4 linked regions of the Coturnix japonica genome follow. The protein of the gene in region 1 purifies or fractionates together with the protein of each later gene. This does not show direct contact. Links are inferred from orthologs where the notes say so. Each region holds a gene or a part of one and is shown in the gene's direction. Other genes may lie near its edges.

The links.
Region 2: the proteins of DHX8 (region 1) and NKAP purify together in Homo sapiens (co-immunoprecipitation; 3 studies listed by BioGRID and IntAct, with this or other methods). This does not show direct contact. The link is inferred for Coturnix japonica from reciprocal best matches to the Homo sapiens genes DHX8 and NKAP.
Region 3: the proteins of DHX8 (region 1) and NUDCD1 purify together in Homo sapiens (affinity purification with mass spectrometry; 3 studies listed by BioGRID and IntAct, counting the BioPlex papers as one, with this or other methods). This does not show direct contact. The link is inferred for Coturnix japonica from reciprocal best matches to the Homo sapiens genes DHX8 and NUDCD1.
Region 4: the proteins of DHX8 (region 1) and PPIE purify together in Homo sapiens (affinity purification with mass spectrometry; 3 studies listed by BioGRID and IntAct, counting the BioPlex papers as one, with this or other methods). This does not show direct contact. The link is inferred for Coturnix japonica from reciprocal best matches to the Homo sapiens genes DHX8 and PPIE.

Annotation. Positions count from the first base shown.
Region 1 is NC_029542.1:2,949,737-2,954,144, reverse strand, and holds the start of DHX8 (ATP-dependent RNA helicase DHX8), read left to right. Parts: upstream 1-1,253; 5' UTR 1,254-1,299; coding exon 1,300-1,411; intron 1,412-1,947; coding exon 1,948-2,033; intron 2,034-2,227; coding exon 2,228-2,300; intron 2,301-2,555; coding exon 2,556-2,641; intron 2,642-3,117; coding exon 3,118-3,227; intron 3,228-3,327; coding exon 3,328-3,633; intron 3,634-3,860; coding exon 3,861-4,005; intron 4,006-4,355; coding exon 4,356-4,408.
Region 2 is NC_029519.1:15,371,425-15,375,988, forward strand, and holds the start of NKAP (NF-kappa-B-activating protein), read left to right. Parts: upstream 1-1,333; 5' UTR 1,334-1,348; coding exon 1,349-1,602; intron 1,603-1,862; coding exon 1,863-1,943; intron 1,944-2,401; coding exon 2,402-2,475; intron 2,476-2,668; coding exon 2,669-2,788; intron 2,789-2,913; coding exon 2,914-2,959; intron 2,960-3,336; coding exon 3,337-3,452; intron 3,453-3,594; coding exon 3,595-3,670; intron 3,671-4,156; coding exon 4,157-4,306; intron 4,307-4,564. Other genes in the region: ZBTB33 (transcriptional regulator Kaiso), read right to left, coding at 1,112-1,139. UniProt on the Homo sapiens protein: Acts as a transcriptional repressor. Plays a role as a transcriptional corepressor of the Notch-mediated signaling required for T-cell development. Also involved in the TNF and IL-1 induced NF-kappa-B activation.
Region 3 is NC_029517.1:119,473,517-119,477,493, reverse strand, and holds part of NUDCD1 (nudC domain-containing protein 1), read left to right. Parts: intron 1-1,721; coding exon 1,722-1,907; intron 1,908-3,360; coding exon 3,361-3,544; intron 3,545-3,977.
Region 4 is NC_029538.1:4,803,414-4,807,891, reverse strand, and holds the start of PPIE (peptidyl-prolyl cis-trans isomerase E), read left to right. Parts: upstream 1-1,364; 5' UTR 1,365-1,392; coding exon 1,393-1,617; intron 1,618-1,770; coding exon 1,771-1,869; intron 1,870-1,991; coding exon of another isoform or gene 1,992-2,035; intron 2,036-2,140; coding exon of another isoform or gene 2,141-2,167; intron 2,168-2,453; coding exon 2,454-2,535; intron 2,536-2,741; coding exon 2,742-2,842; intron 2,843-3,182; coding exon 3,183-3,306; intron 3,307-3,379; coding exon 3,380-3,565; intron 3,566-4,055; coding exon 4,056-4,198; intron 4,199-4,274; coding exon 4,275-4,343; 3' UTR 4,344-4,478. Other genes in the region: PABPC4 (polyadenylate-binding protein 4), read left to right, coding at 190-317, 438-531, 645-775, 863-949. UniProt on the Homo sapiens protein: Involved in pre-mRNA splicing as component of the spliceosome. Combines RNA-binding and PPIase activities.

The DNA of each region.
Region 1 (4,408 bases):
TGAACCCAAGACCCCACATCCCCCCCTTCCCCCCCCCCAAAACCCCTCGAGGAACCCCACACCTCGAACCCCCTTTAATTCCCCATTCTCCCCCCCTCCCTCCTCCCACCCACGTTTCCCGAGGCCTCTGACTCTCAGGACACAGACCTGGCGGGTGAAGGCCTCGTTCGTACCCTCAGCCCCCAGCTCAGCTCCAATACCCCAAGACCCTCCGCCCCCTCCCACCCCACTCTCCTCCCGCAGCTCCCCTGACCTCCACATGAATCCTCGGCCTCCCACCCTACCGCGCATGCGTGCAACCTCAACACGCCCTCTCCCTATTGGCCCGCGCTTTCCACGAGGCATTCTGGGACTTGTAGTTCTTCGTTGTTATTGTAGTTACAGGGTAGGACACAACTCCCAGCGAGCTTCGCGGCGGTACCACATGCTGAGCAAGGCTGCTTCCTATTGGTTGTTTAGCTCGCTGATAGCAATGAGCCTCTGGGCCTGCAACCCCAGAGCCGGGCAGGCCCAGGCAGAGGAAGGAGCTTAATGCTTAACACAGACCATTGACATTGAGGCGCAGTGCTATTTTATTTAGCTCTTAGCTTTAGCTGACATGGCTCCTTGTGCTGTACACAGGCGGTGCTTTGCTCTGCTTGTTGTGGTCTGTGGTCCTCACCATTGCTGCATGTACTGAATAGCCTATAGATGCAAAGGGAAATTACTTTGGCTTCTAAACAGATGGATCTCAGCTCTTTGAGGCAGCTCCTTACCGTGAAGCGATTGGGCAGCCTGGCACTTGGGTTGGACGCTTGATGACTCGGGCAGCAGCAACGATACGGCTGAGGCTCTATAATAGGAACAAGGTAGAGCTGAGTAGAGCCCAGCCCGGCTCTCAGCCCTTCCTTTAACCCCAGGGCCGCTTTCTGCTCACCGGGAGGCAATGCCTGCGTCGGGCTGTTATCAATACCGTGCCTCGTATCCATTCTAGAGCAGCCCGCGGACTGCAAAGTACATATGGGGCTATAAGAGCCGCCCTAGCTCCGTTCCCCAGCCCTTCCCTCGCTCTACACACACCCGTATTAACGCGGCCCTGCGCCGCTCCAGCGCGGCCTGCCTTCGCCTCGCCTCCCAGTGCAAGGCCGACATGGCGGCGGCAAGCGTCGCCTAGCAACGGCCACTTCCGGCACCCCCCAGCGCTGATTGGATCCGGACAGAGCCGCTCTAGCTCTCTATCCTCTCTATGATCAGCTTGACTTCCGGTGCTTCCCGGATGCGGAAGTGGCTCCTGGTGTGTGGGGTGGGGGTGGGGGAAAGATGGCGGACCTGGCGGCTTTAGAGGAGCTCGCCAAGCTCGAGTATTTATCGCTGGTCTCTAAGGTCTGCACCGAGCTTGACAACCACCTGGGTATCAACGATAAGGATCTGGGTGAGTGAGGTGGGGTGATAGCTGTGGGGAGGTTGTAACCGGGCCTGACGGCCATGATGCCTTCAACGAAAGGCCTTTGGAATTGAGAAGAATAAAATATATCTCTAAAAGAAATATTATAAAACGTTTAGATGTGAGCGCCTAGAAGGGGATGCTGCTGTTCTGTAGGTAGATGGATCGATCTGGGTGCTGCCCTTGAACACCTTGGAGGTGTTCGAGACCAGGTTGGACAGGGCCCTGGGCAACCTGATCTATGGGATCTATGGGGTCTCTGTGGGGATCTATGGGGTCCATGGGGTCTCTATGGGGATCTATGGGGTCCATGGGGTCTATGGGGATCTATGGGGTCTCTATGGGGATCTATGGGGTCTCCTGGGCAACCTGATCTAGTAAATGTGTATGTTTGGTGGCCCTGCCAGGCAGGGGGGTTGGAACTACATGATCCTTGAGGTCCCTTCCAACCCGGGTCATTCTGTGATTCTGTGTGATTCTGTGCCCTTGTGCTATTTGATTCACTTTGTGCTCTTTCTTTGTAGCCGAATTTGTGATCAGCCTCGCCGAGAAAAACACGACGTTTGACACGTTTAAAGCCGTTCTGCTAAAGAATGGGGCTGAGTTCACAGTAAGTGAGATCTGAATGTGTTCTGTGTGTTCCTTTATCAAAGGGAGATATAGGGATTGGCTATACTGCAGGGCTATGCAATATTCAGCCTTTCAATCTTTGCCCTGTTGTTTACCCCCATATTGTGCTTTGTAATAATGACCAAAAGTGATGCTATCACCTCTTACATCTTAAACCTTCTATTCTGTTTGCAGGATTCCCTTATCAGCAACTTGTTGCGTCTCATACAAACGATGCGGCCTCCATCAAAACCATCTGCGAGTAAAGGTGAGTGAAGTCTTTTCTTTTCCCTTCCATCAGTTCAGTTAAAAAGAAACAAACCCAACCAAACTGTGCTCTCGAATCCTTTGCAGTTTGTGTCTTGTGTTTGCTGAGGGCAATATATTTAATATTCTAAAATAATAAGATCCGTATTAACCTCTATATGTGGCTGAAAGTTTAACATTCAATTTCAGAAAGGCTGAGATGAAATCATTTTGACTCTTACAAACTATCTGTTTGTTTTGTTCATCTCCAAATCAGAGGCCGTTACCAAACCCAAATCGGAAAAGGAAAGATTGAAGGAATTATTTCCAGCCCTTTGCAGGCCAGACAATCCCAACGTTAGGGTAAGGTCATCATTTCAGTTTCCTTTAATGAGTGTGTGAAAATGTAGTTTGTGGCTCTTTTGGTGTCTCTATTTCAGGTTTTTCTTCACGTTAGCATTTATATCTCCAGCCAAAGCGTGGATAAGAGCAGACTGAGAATTAAAACATCAATGAGCCCAAAGGCTGATATTATTGGATGTAATCCTTAGGAATAACTGTTACCAATAGTTACTTCTACAAACTTATATTCTGTAACTCAATAGTAATTTGAGGTGCTGGGTTGAAGGGATCCTTTATGTAGAAGCAGAATTGGTCCACTAATGTGGCAAAATAGCTTTATTACATTTAATATTTGTTCTTATCATGTATTCTGCCTGATCTTTTCTTTTAAGTTTGTGTTTCTGAATAGAAATGCATGAGATGATTTTTTGTAGGTGAATTCTCTGTGATGGATTTTTATCTCAGCTGTCTTATAGGATGATTCTCTGTTTTTGCAGACTATGCTGGATGAAGATGATGTGAAAGTGGCAGCAGATGCACTTAAAGAACTTGAAGCTCTGATGCCTAGTGCAGACAAGCAAAGCAAACAAAGGAGCAGTGACCACCGGTATGTTATTAGTTCATTTTTAAGGGACTGGATATTGGCAGTTAATGTCTACTTGCTCTTGTCGAATTTCAGTGTTAATATATTTTGTTTGTTTGTTAAGGGCAAAGAAAAAGAAAAGAAGCCGAAGCAGGAGCAGGGACAGGAAACGAAGGCACAGATCTCGCTCTAGGTCTCGTTCCAGGACTCGGGATAGGAACAGAGGTAAATCCAGATACTACTCGAGGAGCAGGAGTCGAAGTAGGGACCGTAGGGATCGAGACAAGTATATTGAGAAGAGCAATGAGAGATGGAGAGACAAGCACGTAGACCGTCCGCCACCTGAGGAGCCTTCCATTGGAGACATTTACAATGGGAAAGTCACCAGTATAATGCAGTTTGGGTGCTTCGTGCAGCTGGAAGGACTGAGGTATGTTATAATATTTACAATAAATCTGGTACCATTTTATCTCTACTTTTTTCTGTTGGGGTCTTAAAGAGGTTATGATGCTACAGTAGAGACTGTTAACTATTTTTACAAAGAACAGTGAACATCCACAGACAATCAGCTCACAACAAAATATTTTAATCCAGACTCTGAATGATCTGAAAGACCATCTGAGTAATAATGTTCAATGTCTCATGTTTTACCTACAGGAAGCGTTGGGAGGGCTTGGTCCACATCTCTGAGCTTCGAAGAGAAGGACGTGTTGCCAATGTTGCTGATGTTGTGAGCAAAGGACAAAGAGTGAAGGTCAAAGTGTTATCCTTTACTGGATCCAAAACGAGCCTGAGCATGAAGGTATGGAATTGTCACATCACACAGGATGTGGAATCCATTGTGTGGTGCCTAGTGTAGAAATTATGGGATGCTAAGATGTTTACAGTTTACGTTTCTTTTTGTTATCTTGTTACTGAATACTAACACGTAACCCTTCAAGTCAGATACAACTGTAACTCATTTTTAAGTGACTCATTATCTTCATTATATTCATTTTCTTTGGGTTCTTTTGTGTGTGTTTCTGATGTAATAATCCAAATAGGTGTTTTTGATTTGACACTCATCTGAATGACTGACGAAACTTTAAGCTGTTGCTATGCTTGCCCAGATGCAACGTAGATAGAGCTGACTAATTAATCTATCTGATGTAGGATGTTGATCAAGACACTGGGGAAGACTTGAATCCAAACCGGAGGAGAAATTT
Region 2 (4,564 bases), on another chromosome or scaffold:
CAGTGTTCTCACAGAGAACCCGAGCTCATGGCACGTTTTATCTGCGGTTCCTGATCTGTTTGATCCTACAGACTTTGCAGGAACTCACAGGAGAACCTACAGCTAAAGACAAGCACTGGTTTGGAAGGAGCAGTGCTCTGGGGTTCCCAAAACCAAGCTGTGAACTGCTTTACCATTCGGCCTTGCAAGGCCTCTTGCAGATCAGCCTCCAAAGTGTTTGGGGATTGAACAAGCATACAAACGTATACAGTGACAAGTTAAATGAAGCATGTTTTTCTAAGATGTGGACGTGTAGAGCACACAACAAGAGGTGGTGTTCAGTGGGTAAGAACACAAAGCAACTGTATTTTGATGCATGGAAATGATCCAAAAGGAGCCGCCTCAGCGCTGGGCACCACGTTGAGCTGGGGCTGCACCCACGATGGCAGAGCCCCGGCTGCACCTCTGGGTGCCTTTAATGGCTGCAGGGACGGGGCCCAGCACCAGCAATGTGGGTTAGCAGCAACCAGCTCTGCCTGTCGGTGTCGTAACCTTGTGTGCCGTGTGGGGATGCAGGGCCGGGTGGAGGGGGCAGGGCTGCGTTCCGGGATCCTCCCGAGATGGGAAGCACGGAACGAGCATTTGAGGCAGTACGGATTCAGCTGGCAGAGTGACAGGCACTGCAGCTTCCACCTGCCTCATCCACATCACCCTGCCCACAGCAGGCGTAAAAAACAGCCGTGTAAATAACAGCCGTGTAAAGAACAGCCGTGTAAATAAGAGCCGTGTAAGTAAGAACCGTGTAAATAAGAGCCGTGTATGTGCCCCGCGCTCCCACAGCCGCAGCATGGCGGCAGCGGGCCCGTGAAACCTGGGGCGGCAGCCGGTGTGCGGGAGCGGGGCCGGGCTGCGCTGACAGCCGCTCTGACAGCGGCGGGGCCGGACCGAGCCGGGATGGCCGCGAGAGCAGCGCGGGCTGATGTGCCGGCCGGCACCGGGCATCGGGCACCGGGGATCGCGGCCCGGCGAGCGCTCCCCCTCGCTCGGTGCTCACCCGGCCCCGCACCGCCGTCCCCCGGCCGCTCCCGGCTGCAGGCCGCTCCCGGTGCGCCGTCCGCCCGCGCCGCCTTACCTGGCCGCGGCTGTGCCCGCGCCTCCATGGTGCCGGGCGGTGACAAAGGAGCGGCCCCGCCGCCGTGTCGCCGTGTTTCCGCACGGCCGGTGGGGCACTGCGCCCCGCGGGCGGGGCTGCCCCGCTTCCGCCCCGCGCCCCGTCGCCGCCGCCTCCCGCCCCCGTCCGAGCAGCGCAGCGCGGCCCGGCGGCCGTCGGAAGTGCCGTCAGGCCGCCCGGAAATGCCGCCGCGCCATCATGGCGCCGGTGTCGCGCTCCCGCAGCCCGGCCGCCGCCAGCCCCGAGCGCCGCGGCCGCCGCTCCCGCTCCCGGTCCCGCTCCCGGTCCCGTAACGGATCGCGGCGCGGCTGCCACCGGCGGAGCCGCAGCTGGTCCCGATCCCGGGAGCGCAGCCCCGGCGGGACTCGAGCCTCCGCGCACCACGGGCACCACCACGGCAAGGCCTGGCCCGAGTACTACGAGAAGGAGAAGGAGGAGATCCTGCGGCAGAGGCCAGTACCAACGCGGGAACGGGGAACGGGCAACGGGCGGGTCTGCGGGCTCTCCCTGCTTGAGGCTGGGAGCCGCCGGCGCTGCACGAGCCTCTGGGTGCCGGGCTGGACTCTGCCCGCTCGGCCTGCGGGCGTGGGTTGGGCTGAGGTTGTTATTGAAGTCCCGTTCTCACGCTGTTATGGGCAGTGGGACATGCCCGCAAGCAGCTGCTCGCTGGGTGCGACGTGTCAGCGTCCAGTAACGGTGTGCTTCATTCCAGGAGACTCAATGAGAGGGAGAGAATCGGAGAGCTGGGAGCACCTGAAGTCTGGGGGCTTTCGCCAAAGGTTCCTGACCCTGAGTAAGGCACAGTTTTGCTTCTCACTCTGTTTTTTATGATATCAATTCTAGAGGAATTTACAATAACGCATGAGTCCTCTGGTGCCACAATTCATTGTGTCAGAAGCATCTGAACCAACATAAGCAAACAGACGTTATTCAGATAATCCCATCACATCAGTTACTCAAGACATGACGCAATTACATGATTTCCCATGGCAGGGGGTTGAAACTGGATGATTGTTATGGTCCTTTTCAACCCAGGGCATTCTATGATACATTCTATACTGTGATAGGTGCCTTTTCTGCTGTGGTTCTGAAAACAGTTGCTGTCTCGCACGCTGGCCATTGCACAGTTTGCTCTGTTGCAAGTAGTGGCTCAAAATCCACAAGCACGTGTTTCAGTGTATGTGTGCATCTGATCTTCAGTTACTAAATACTACAAAATAGATCTTAAAAAGCAAACTTGTTTTTCTTCAGTTCTGATGAGCACACGCCAGTAGAAGACGAAGAGGCAAAATCCAAGAGCAGCTCTTCGGATTCCAGCTCGGAAGGTATTTGGCTTTGTTTATACAGCTCATTTTGATAACCAGTCGCTACCTAGAAACTGCTGTTGTTGCTGTCAGGAAGTTCACTGACTTGGGTTGAAGTGAGTGTGATAGGCCCTGTTGCTTTGGGATGCTCCAGATGTATACACGGAACTAAGTCTTCATCTTTTTCTAATGTTATCTTTTATAAACATTCCAGAGGAAAAAAGGAAGAAGAAGAAGAAGCGAAAGAAGAGAAAACGGAAGGCGTCCAAACGGAAACACAGAAAACATTCTGAGGACAGTGACAGCGAGTCCGAGTCCGACCAGAGCTCCAGTGGTAAGGGAGAACAAATGATGTCCAAGCTGTGTATTGAGATGTTCTGGTGGAGGCATTAACTAATTCACAGTGTATGCTTTTTGATGATGCATAATCTTCCCTTTTTTTTGTTTTTTGTTTTTCAGATGAAGATAAAAAGAAAAGCAAAAGGAAGAAAAGGAAGCACAGGAAGTAAGTTTCCAAGCTGTGAAGTATAATTGCATCTACTTTTAAGCGCAGTCTTAGCAGGAACGGAGGGAAGCTGAGCGCTCCTGTAATTAGAGCTGTAAATGCAGGTGGATAATCATAATTTGACTGGCATCAAATGTACAGAATCCCAGAGCACAGAGAGATCCTTGAAACACAGGGAGCCGCTTTCGAGCGCTGTATGAAAGCCATAACAGTGGATGTGTTGTCTTTGTTTAACTATCGGTTGTTTTCAATCAAACAGCAATGTAAATGCAGACTGTCCTTGGTGGAAGGTATCTTGAGAAACTCATAACTTGAGTATGACTCCTAGCACGTTTTTTTATCTTAAATGCTGGTGGATAACTTGGGTGTTATTGCAGGAAGAAGTACAAGAAAAAGAAAAATAAAAAGAGCCGGAAGGAATCCAGTGATTCCAGCAGTGAAGATTCTGATGATGGAACAGTTCAAGGGGAGGATCTCTGGATTGAGAGATCAAGTAGGTGCCCGTAGATTTGTCTTGAAACTTCTTGGTGTTCTTTTCATGCTTTTTTTTTTTTAAGTGTTTGCTGCCTTGTTGACTGCTCTGATAACAAAGAAGAGGCACAGTATTGATCTGCTTCACTATTTGATCATTGCAGAAAATACAGAAGCTGATAGCTTGATTGGACCAGAAGCTCCCAAAACACATGCGTCTCAAGATGATAGGCCTTTAAAGTGAGTACTCTAAATGGTACCTTGATTGAGTCAAGTAAATCTAGCATAAAGATTTCTGCTCAGAAAGACCTAAAATAATATGATTTATATCAAGAGGGATGCTGTACCAGAAACTAAGAAGTGGTAGTGGTGCTAGTCTTTACTCTGACCTGAGTTTAAGTAGAAAAGTCTGTTTTACGCATTTTAGCCTGGGTTCGTAGAAAATTAATTGGTTTTTACTTCAGTAAAGTGCCTTTACTCTAATGCTCTGCAGAGCTGTGACTTCATACAGCCTTCATTACTGGTTAACCAGAATTTATTAAACTGCTTACTTAAAATGTTCTTGCTGAGATTAGCTGTAAGTATGAAATGGGAACGTACTTGGGAAATAGTAAGGAAGTCCTTAAAATGTAGCTGGTAGTGACTGGGGGAGCTGGATGTTTGGCTCAGGCTCACTCTAGTTGAGACTGATTAAAATCCCTCCTGTTTGTCTCTCTGTTTCTTTAGCTATGGGCACGCCCTGTTGCCGGGTGAAGGTGCAGCAATGGCAGAGTATGTAAAAGCAGGAAAACGCATTCCTCGGAGAGGTGAGATTGGCTTGACCAGTGAAGAAATTGCATCGTTTGAGAGCTCCGGTTACGTGATGAGCGGCAGCAGGTATGTTTCTTATGATGGTAATATTTCAGTAACATTTTCCAAAGCTGCTTCCTTTGTTGGCCTGCTGAAAAGCTGTTCCCAGGCTGTAGCTGAAAGCTCTGAAGAGCACGTGCTCTGTACGCTTTCAGTGGCATATGCTGAACTCTACTGCTATATATAGATGCATAGTTTCTTAAAGTCACTTTTTCCTGAAGAATCAAAATTATTTCCAGATAGTATGCTTCAAATTCTCTTTATTTCAAATTAGATGCTTGTCTC
Region 3 (3,977 bases), on another chromosome or scaffold:
AATCCCTTCCCTTGCCTGGCTGGCAGTGCTGGGCCTGATGTACCCCAGGGCATGGTTGGTCCTTTTGGCTGCCAGGGCACACTGCTGACTTGTATTCAGCTTCAATCAACCAGAACTCTCATATCCCTTGCTGTGGGGCTGCTCTCCTGCTTCTCATTCCCCAGCCTGTACAAAGTCAGGTTTGCCCTGTTCCAGGCACAGAATTTGGCACTTCCTCTTGTTCAGCTTCATATAGGTGATGATTGCCCAGCCTTCTAATTTGTCAGCAGCTCTCTACAAGTTCTCTTTACTTTCAAGTGTTGACAGTTCCTCCCATTTTTGTGTTATCTGCAGACTTACTTAATACTAGTGAGCAGCAAAAGGAAGATTAGAAGAGCATTTTCTTTCTTTCCTTTGAGCTGGGAGGCTTTGTGATGTGAAGACTTTTTTAATTAAAGTTTTCAGAATTGTTGACTCCTGTCACTCCACTTCAGTGTTGATAAGTGTAATGAGGGCTTTAGAAGATTAAATGATCGACAGTTGATAGTTCTTTAAAACACAATTACATCAATAACTATTTGAAGCTTACTGTTATGATTCACTTGAAGGCTGTCAGAAGTGTGGTCTTCTATGGTGTTGCATAGAATATGCCTGTAATTTGTAGTTCTGGGGCTGAAGCTTTTTCTTTCCGCAATTTTCGTTCTTTTTTCCCATTCGCATCAGTCACTTCTTACCATGGAATGGTAAGAAATATCAGAAAATACTGCCTTTCAGTAAAACCTTAAGAAATTCAAGCAGAAAATGAGGATGTCGGAAATGCTTGGGTGTAGAGTGTGGTTTTTTTTCTTCCTTTGTTTATAATTCTTTCATTCAATCTTTCTGAATGTGTTCTAAATTAGGTGAATAACTGAAGGGTTGTAGTGATGCAACTGAATCTACAGAGTGATCCTGAATGCTACTAGAAATTATAAATCTAATTTGCATCTTTTCTATTGCAGATTTCAGAGTCGTAGAGAAAAGTAATCTCTAATACAAATTCAAGTAGATCCAGAAGACAGTCAGGCTATCTGTTTGTCATCTGGTCTTTTTCAGTGATGCTTATTAAAATGGTACTTACCCAAATCCAGTTTAGCTTGCCTTACTTTGAACATGTTCTAGATGCATATCTGATTTTAATACCATTTGGAAAATACGATAGATTTGAAATCGTCTCTAATACGATAGTCTCAAGTCTATGTCATGCTTGTATGCACGAATGTGGTCTTTCTGTGTTGTATATGTGTGCACAAGTTGAGTAAGAAAGAGGGTTAAAGTTTGTTTTAGTTTAGAAGTCAGTGTAAATTAACTTTTTTTTGTACATTTCTATGGCTTTTATTTCATTTAAGGTCTCCAGGTTCTTAGTGGGATTAAAACTGTGAGGTGAGTGATAAATTCTATGGGAATGTTAGGAAAAAAGAAGTAAAAAACTTTTAAATGCAAAATGTAAATTAGTGCTGTGAATTTGAAGGGAAAAAAATGGTGTTGAAATACCAATTATAAAACACTTAAGTTTTCAGTAAACAGACTGAATACTGAAATTCTACCACCTCTTCCTCATATGTGGAAGTGATGCTTGGCTACCTACATTTTTCCTAATAGGCTCAATTACATGAGCTGACTGGTGAATTGCTGTTGAAGTTTGTTGTTCATTTTTCTGCAATGCTGAAATTGATTAGTACTTCATAAAGTGACTCTGCTTACAGGACACTGCTCTCCAAAAACCAAGAGAAGTTTTCAGGCTACCTACAGATTTGACAGCTTATGATGATCGCCTTTGTGCCTCAATGTACTTCTCATCTTCCACATGGGTTACCATTTCTGATGGAACAGGAAGACTATATTTAATTAAGTCAGGCAAGCGTGGAAACAGTGCATCGGAAAAATGGGAGGTAAGTCTTAAAATAGCACATTAAGAATTGTATATTTACCAAATAATTCTTACTCCTGCACTTAATAGGAGAATTGCATGCATATAATGTTATGAAAAACGAAGCTTTCAATCTTAACTCTGTGGTTGATATTGGGCTGTGTCCAAACATAAAGATCATGTGAATTATTTCTTGAAGTGAAAGAAAAAAATCTGTAAAATTCAAATGGTTGAATGGAAACAGCAAACAGCCTTTTTACGGGAAAAGAATCTGTCTGAAGAGAGCGAGTGTTTCTAAATAGGTGACTGCACACCTGTCAAGCTGAACTTATAATAAGAACCATTTTCCCTTTCCCTTCTCTATTCTTATGGGTCAGCCTAAGTTTTCCTTCCACTATCACATTATTTCTTCTGACCCATGGAATAATAAGTACGTTTTAAAATGCCTGAAATTATTGTCAAGCTAAATGCTACTTTTCATTTTGTTAGAGGGTTTCTAGATCACTTGTGCTGATGTAATTGCATTTGAAATGTTCATCATTTTAATTTGACCTGTCTTAAAAGTGTGTCCATGGTGAATAAAATAAAAATTAAAGAAAACTGATGATTAAAAACCTTTTATAAGTAGCCCCGAGGGCTTTATGCAGAGTAGGTATAATCTAAATTGTAATATTTCCACCTCTCTGGGAGAGAAATTTTTCATGCTGTACACTTAGCTCTGGAGAATTATTGGTGCTTAGTATTTTTTATTTAACTTTGTGGTTGTAACTGAAGCACGTTTCTCATTAAATAGGTTACAAAATCACTTACTTTAAACCATCTTGAGAAGGAGCGTTTCTGATATCCACGGAGCAGTGGTGTTTCCATAGCAATAATGCTATTAGTTCTACAAAACAAATGTAGTTATGGTACATTTCTGCTTCAGCTGCTATAAGTTTTGGTCTGTTGTTTCTCTTTATTTCTGAAGGATGAATTTGATATTAAAGTACCACATTTTTCATGCAACTTTTTAATTAGAGGATAGTTTTATACACAGCCAAGGAGCTTTTAATATTGGCAGGAAGTCAAACATATACCTGGAAGTGGAGGATTTCTACATGGTGGAATAACTCCTTCCCCTGTACAATTTGAAAGTTCAGTCAAAAGGAAGCCAGTTACCCTGTTCTGTAGTGCAGATATTTTTGTAGAGTTTTGTGCTTGATCTAGTGGACCATTTTAATGATTCTATCATATAAACAGTAATAAAAAGGACACTTTCTTGATAGCTAAGGAAGGAACTGCTAGAAATACATAGAATAGTTCTGCTAGAAGAGAACTTCAGGTCACACACCAACTGTGTGACCACTTCAGGGCTAACCAAAAGTTAATGTGATTTGTGGCGAGCATATTTAATTAATTGATTTAATGTTCTCTGAAGCTTTCACTAATTTTTGAGTTTTAACTGACTAACCTTTTTCTACCATTTTGCCTTCCAGACTGTGTTTAGTGAAGAACTAGGCAGTCCATTCGTTATAGTACACAGTGTTTCATTTGTAAAATCTGATAAACATTCAATAGCTGTGCTACTGCTCAGGGTAGAAAAAGATGAATTGGACACAAAAGGAAGTGGATTTCATATTACTTTGGAATGGGTTACATTTGTAGAGATGAACAAAGCGGGTAAGTGTTTTATATTTATGTTATTAGTAGGTAAGGGGAAAAAAACTAAAACCAAACAAACAAAAAAAACAAAACAAACAAACAAAAAAAAACAAAAACTGCAAAAGAAAAACAGCTATTATGCTTTCATTAATTGTTTTGGATGTTGATTGTTCCTCAATTTCTGATGTTTGCATCCCAACAAAACCCTCATCACACTTTAAATTCAAGTTCTCACTTGTAGACCTGCAGTATGACAAACATTTGGAGGACAGGAAGGAGTCAATTTCTGCATGTGTATAGTTAAGGCGATTAGAAAACAAGCTAGGAATAATACGACATTATGGGATGAATAATAAATTCCCATTTAGCTCTGTCTATTAAAATCTAAGTTGAAAACTATTTCTAATTAATATCTCTCGTACTTTTCAAAACATTGTATAAGAATTTAATT
Region 4 (4,478 bases), on another chromosome or scaffold:
AGAAAATACCTTAAATGCAGAATGTAGAATAATTCTTTTCTGGAATATCCAGTTGTAATTTGGAGACCAGTTCCTAAGCAAATATTGGCCTGTGCAGAGCATAGTTTGAATTTAGCAGTAATTAAGATACCTCAGGTTACTTGCTGCACATTCCTATGGTGGTTTTGATCCTGCTCTCTTCTCTTGCAGGTGTTACCACTGCAGGACAGAACTTGGCTCCTCGTCCACCTGTGGCTGCTCCTGCTCCCAGAGCAGTTCCCCCTTATAAATATGCCTCAAGTGTCCGCAGCCCACACCCACCTGTACAGCCTTTGCAGGTAACACAAGGATCTGTGCCTGAAGCAGCTGCAGGCCAACAGGTTTGACATGCAGCTGAAGAGTTTTTGCAGAAACAGCACAGCATCTATTTTTGCATCCTCCTGTCTGCCCTTCTATAGGCACCTCAGCCTGCAGTACACGTGCAGGGACAGGAGCCACTAACAGCCTCCATGCTGGCTGCTGCCCCTCCCCAGGAGCAGAAACAGATGCTGGGTAAGTGAAACTCAGGTTCTTCCAGATTGCATTTTACTTTGGGAATGTCCTGAGGTTTCATTGACAGCTTCTAAATTAAAACTGCTGTCTGAAATCCTTTTTTTTTTTTCTAGGAGAACGTTTGTTCCCTCTTATTCAAGCTATGCACCCCAGCCTTGCAGGGAAGATCACAGGAATGCTGCTGGAGATTGACAACTCGGAGCTGCTGCACATGTTGGAGTCTCCAGAGTCCCTCCGCTCAAAGGTAAAGCCGGCCCGTTCCCTTGTAGGCCAAACTGTGTGTCCCTTTGGTTGGGAGAGAATTCTTACTGGCTCATCTTCTTGCCCGCAGGTGGAGGAGGCTGTTGCAGTGCTGCAGGCTCACCAAGCCAAGAAAGAAGCTGCCCAGAAGGTGGGTGTGGTTGCTGCTACCTCTTAAGCCAGGAGGGCAGGTGAGTGTCTCAGTGCTCAGCTTCAATTCAAAGCTTCCAGGTTTGGTAAATAAAACCAGGCAGTTACTGGGCGTTGTTGGTGTGGGAGCTTGTCTGAGTGGAGCCAGTTCTTCAGAACATCTTCCTCCTTTCCCTGCAGGATGCAATGAAGCCAAACAGCCCCTGTCACAGCCCCTGTCACAGCCCCTGTCACAGCCAGCGGCTGGAGGAGGCTGCAGCCCTGCAGGACTCGATGCCACGCGCCGTATCACGTAGTTCTATTGCATTTTGTAATTAACCCTTGGGATCTCACCGAGCGACTCTGGCTGCCCAAAGCCTGGATGGAGTCTGTGAGCTTTTCCTTTGTGAGCAGAGTTTAAGTCTTTTCTATGCAGGACTTTGAAGGTTTCTGGTTGACAAAAGCATTTTGTGGTTTTGGTTTTAACGGCCCATGTTGGAGAGTTCTGGAAAATCGTTTGGCAATGGAGGAATAAAAACTTTCTCAGCGTTTGTCACGTTTCTCTTTAGTTTTGTCACTTTGGGCTGGTTCGGGGGTTCGTCCCTCCCCGCCGCCAGGGGGCGCTGCCGGGGCGGCGCTGGGCGGAAGGGCGGGATATGCCCGAACTTCCGGGGTGGGGCGGCAAGATGGCGGCCACCAAGAGGGTGCTGTACGTGGGTGAGTGGGGCGGGCGGCGGGGAGGCGAGAGGGGCCGTAACGGTGTTGTGGGCCATAATGCTGTGTGTCCGTAACGCTGTGTGTCCGTAACGCTGTGTGTCCGTAACGCTGTGTGTCCGTAACGCTGTGTGTCCGTAACGCTGTGTGCCGCAGGCGGGCTGGCGGAGGAGGTGGACGAGAAGGTGCTGCACGCCGCCTTCATCCCGTTCGGCGACATCACCGACATCCAGATCCCGCTGGACTACGAGACCGGTGCGTGGCGGGGCGGGGACCGGGATGTGACCGGCCTGTAACCGGGCTGTAACCGGTGTAACCGGGCTGTGACCGGGCTGTAACTGCTGTGACCGGGCTGTGACCGGGCTGTTTGCTGGCAGAGAAGCACCGCGGATTCGCCTTCGTGGAGTTCGAGCTGGCGGAGGTGAGGGGGTGGGGGTCGGGGTGTGAGTGTCTCCCGTTGGGGCATTGGGGCCTTTAGAGGCAGAGGGCGCCGTGTGTGTAACGGAGCCTGTCGCTCTTCACGCAGGATGCGGCTGCGGCCATTGACAACATGGTACGAGTCACACAATCACAGAGTCCTGGAGCCCTGCCCTGCCCTGTCCCCGGGGCTCAGCCCTGCCCGGACACTTGGTGTTTCTGTGCTGGTGACGCTGCAGACCTGCTGATCCCGGAGCTGTGATGCCGGCCCTGCTTTGCTGGTGCTGTTGGTGCTGCCTGTGGCTCAGTGCAGCTCCTGAACTGCGTGTAGTGCTCAGAAAAAAAACAGCCCCGTTCTCTGCAGAGGGGACACAGTGAGTTTTTACCTTGTGGTGGGTTTTGTGCTTTTTTGTCCTCTGTAGAATGAGTCTGAGCTCTTTGGTCGGACGATTCGAGTGAACTTGGCCAAACCAATGCGAATTAAAGAAGGATCGTCTCGGCCGGGTAAGTTGGTACCCCTCACCTGGGGGAGCTGCTGGCTCTGTCCCTGTGTCCCCATGATGTGGGGTGACCACATGCAGTTCTGGGGGTGGTTGGGCCAGCAGCACCCTGGGTTACAGTCCTGCTGCTTCTGGAGCTGTGCTGAGTCCAGAGTCGTGTATGGCCCTGGGCTCAGCGCCCTGCTCTCATCCTGCCCTCCCTTGCTGCAGTGTGGTCAGATGATGAGTGGCTGAAGAGGTTCTCAGGAAAGACCCTGGAGGAGAACGCAGAGGAAGGAGGAACAGAGGCACCCAAACCAGAGACACAGGAGGTAGGGATGGATGGAGCTGGTTGTGTCCTGCTGAGTGCCTTGGAATGGGGAATGGCCACATGGGGAACTGGGTGCTGTCAGCTTTGAGAGCCAGGAGTGAGCTGTGGCCCTGTCAGTCCCTGTGCTCCCAAAAGCTCCGTGAGCCCATAGGGAGCCGTGTGTTTCAGCTGCACCCTGCAGCAGCCCCCAGGCTGTGAGAAGCCTCCTGTTGCTTCATGCTGCCTCCAGGGACTTCTGGAGCTGGATCTGCTGCTGGCACTGTGCTGCAGGCTGGGGTCAGCCTGGCCATTGGGTGGCAGAGCTGAGCAGTGGCAGCATAGTGTACCTTCTCCTCGCATAGGGTGAGCCTCCTGCCAAGAAGTCCCGGGCCAACCCCCAAGTTTACATGGACATCAAGATTGGCAACAAACCTGCAGGGCGGCTCAAGATCCTGCTGCGCTCCGACGTGGTGCCCATGACTGTAGGTGAGCAGCGCTGCTGTCACTGTGGCCCACAGGCTGCAGTGCTGTGCTCACCTCTGCCCTTTGCCTTGAACAGAAAACTTCCGCTGCCTCTGCACCCAGGAGAAAGGCTTTGGCTTCAAGGGGAGCAGCTTCCACCGCATCATCCCCCAGTTCATGTGCCAGGCTGGGGACTTCACCAACCACAACGGCACCGGAGGAAAATCCATCTATGGGAAGAAGTTTGATGATGAAAACTTCATCCTGAAGCACACGGGACCAGGTAGGGTGGGGTTTGTGGGGCACCTCGAGCTGCTCTGACCACACAGCAGCAGCCCCAGGGCCGGTCTGTGTTGGTGCAGCACCTGGAGCAGACTGCAGTGTGCCCACAGCATTCAGTGGGCAGAAATGCTGCCCCCTATTTCTACCCCCACGCTGTTAATTTCCAGTCTCATATCATGGAGAATTTCAAAGCTGCTTTTCTGTTGGGCTTTATGGCAGGAGCAGTGCAGTCTAACTGTGAGCATTGGAAAGGTGGCAGAAAGCAAGCAGGCTGATCTCCAAAGCTTTGCTGTTGCTACAGTTAAAAATAGATTAATGCTCTCTACCACTTCACTCTGTTCATACCCGGAGGTGTTTCTTGGCATCATCAACTTCCCGCAGTTCCAATATTCAGAGACTCTCTTAAAGCCAGCAGTGTCTGCTCAGCCCGGGGGGGGGGGTTAGTTAATTATTGGCGTTGCTCCCAGTAATGCTGCCCTGTTTGGTCCCAGGGTTGCTGTCCATGGCCAACGCCGGCCCGAACACCAACGGCTCCCAGTTCTTCATCACTTGTGATAAAACCGACTGGCTGGACGGGAAGCACGTGGTGTTTGGGGAGGTGACAGAGGGCATGGACGTGGTGCGGCAGATTGAGGTTGGTGCTGGGGTGAGGGGGGCTGTGTGTGCCCACCCCCCACCACCATCTTTAAGCCTTCATTCCCCTTCTGCAGGCTCAGGGCACCAAGGATGGGAAGCCAAAGCAGAAGGTGATAATCTCCGACTGTGGGGAGTGTGTGTGACTGCAGCAGTGACCCAGCTGTCCCTGCAAGGGTTGGTCCCCACGCCTGCAGCAGTGCTGTGCAGTGAGCGGGCAGGTGGCTGCTGCAGGTACATGGTGTGTGCGCTGCCCGGTGCTGCCAGTGTCTGCCACGCGC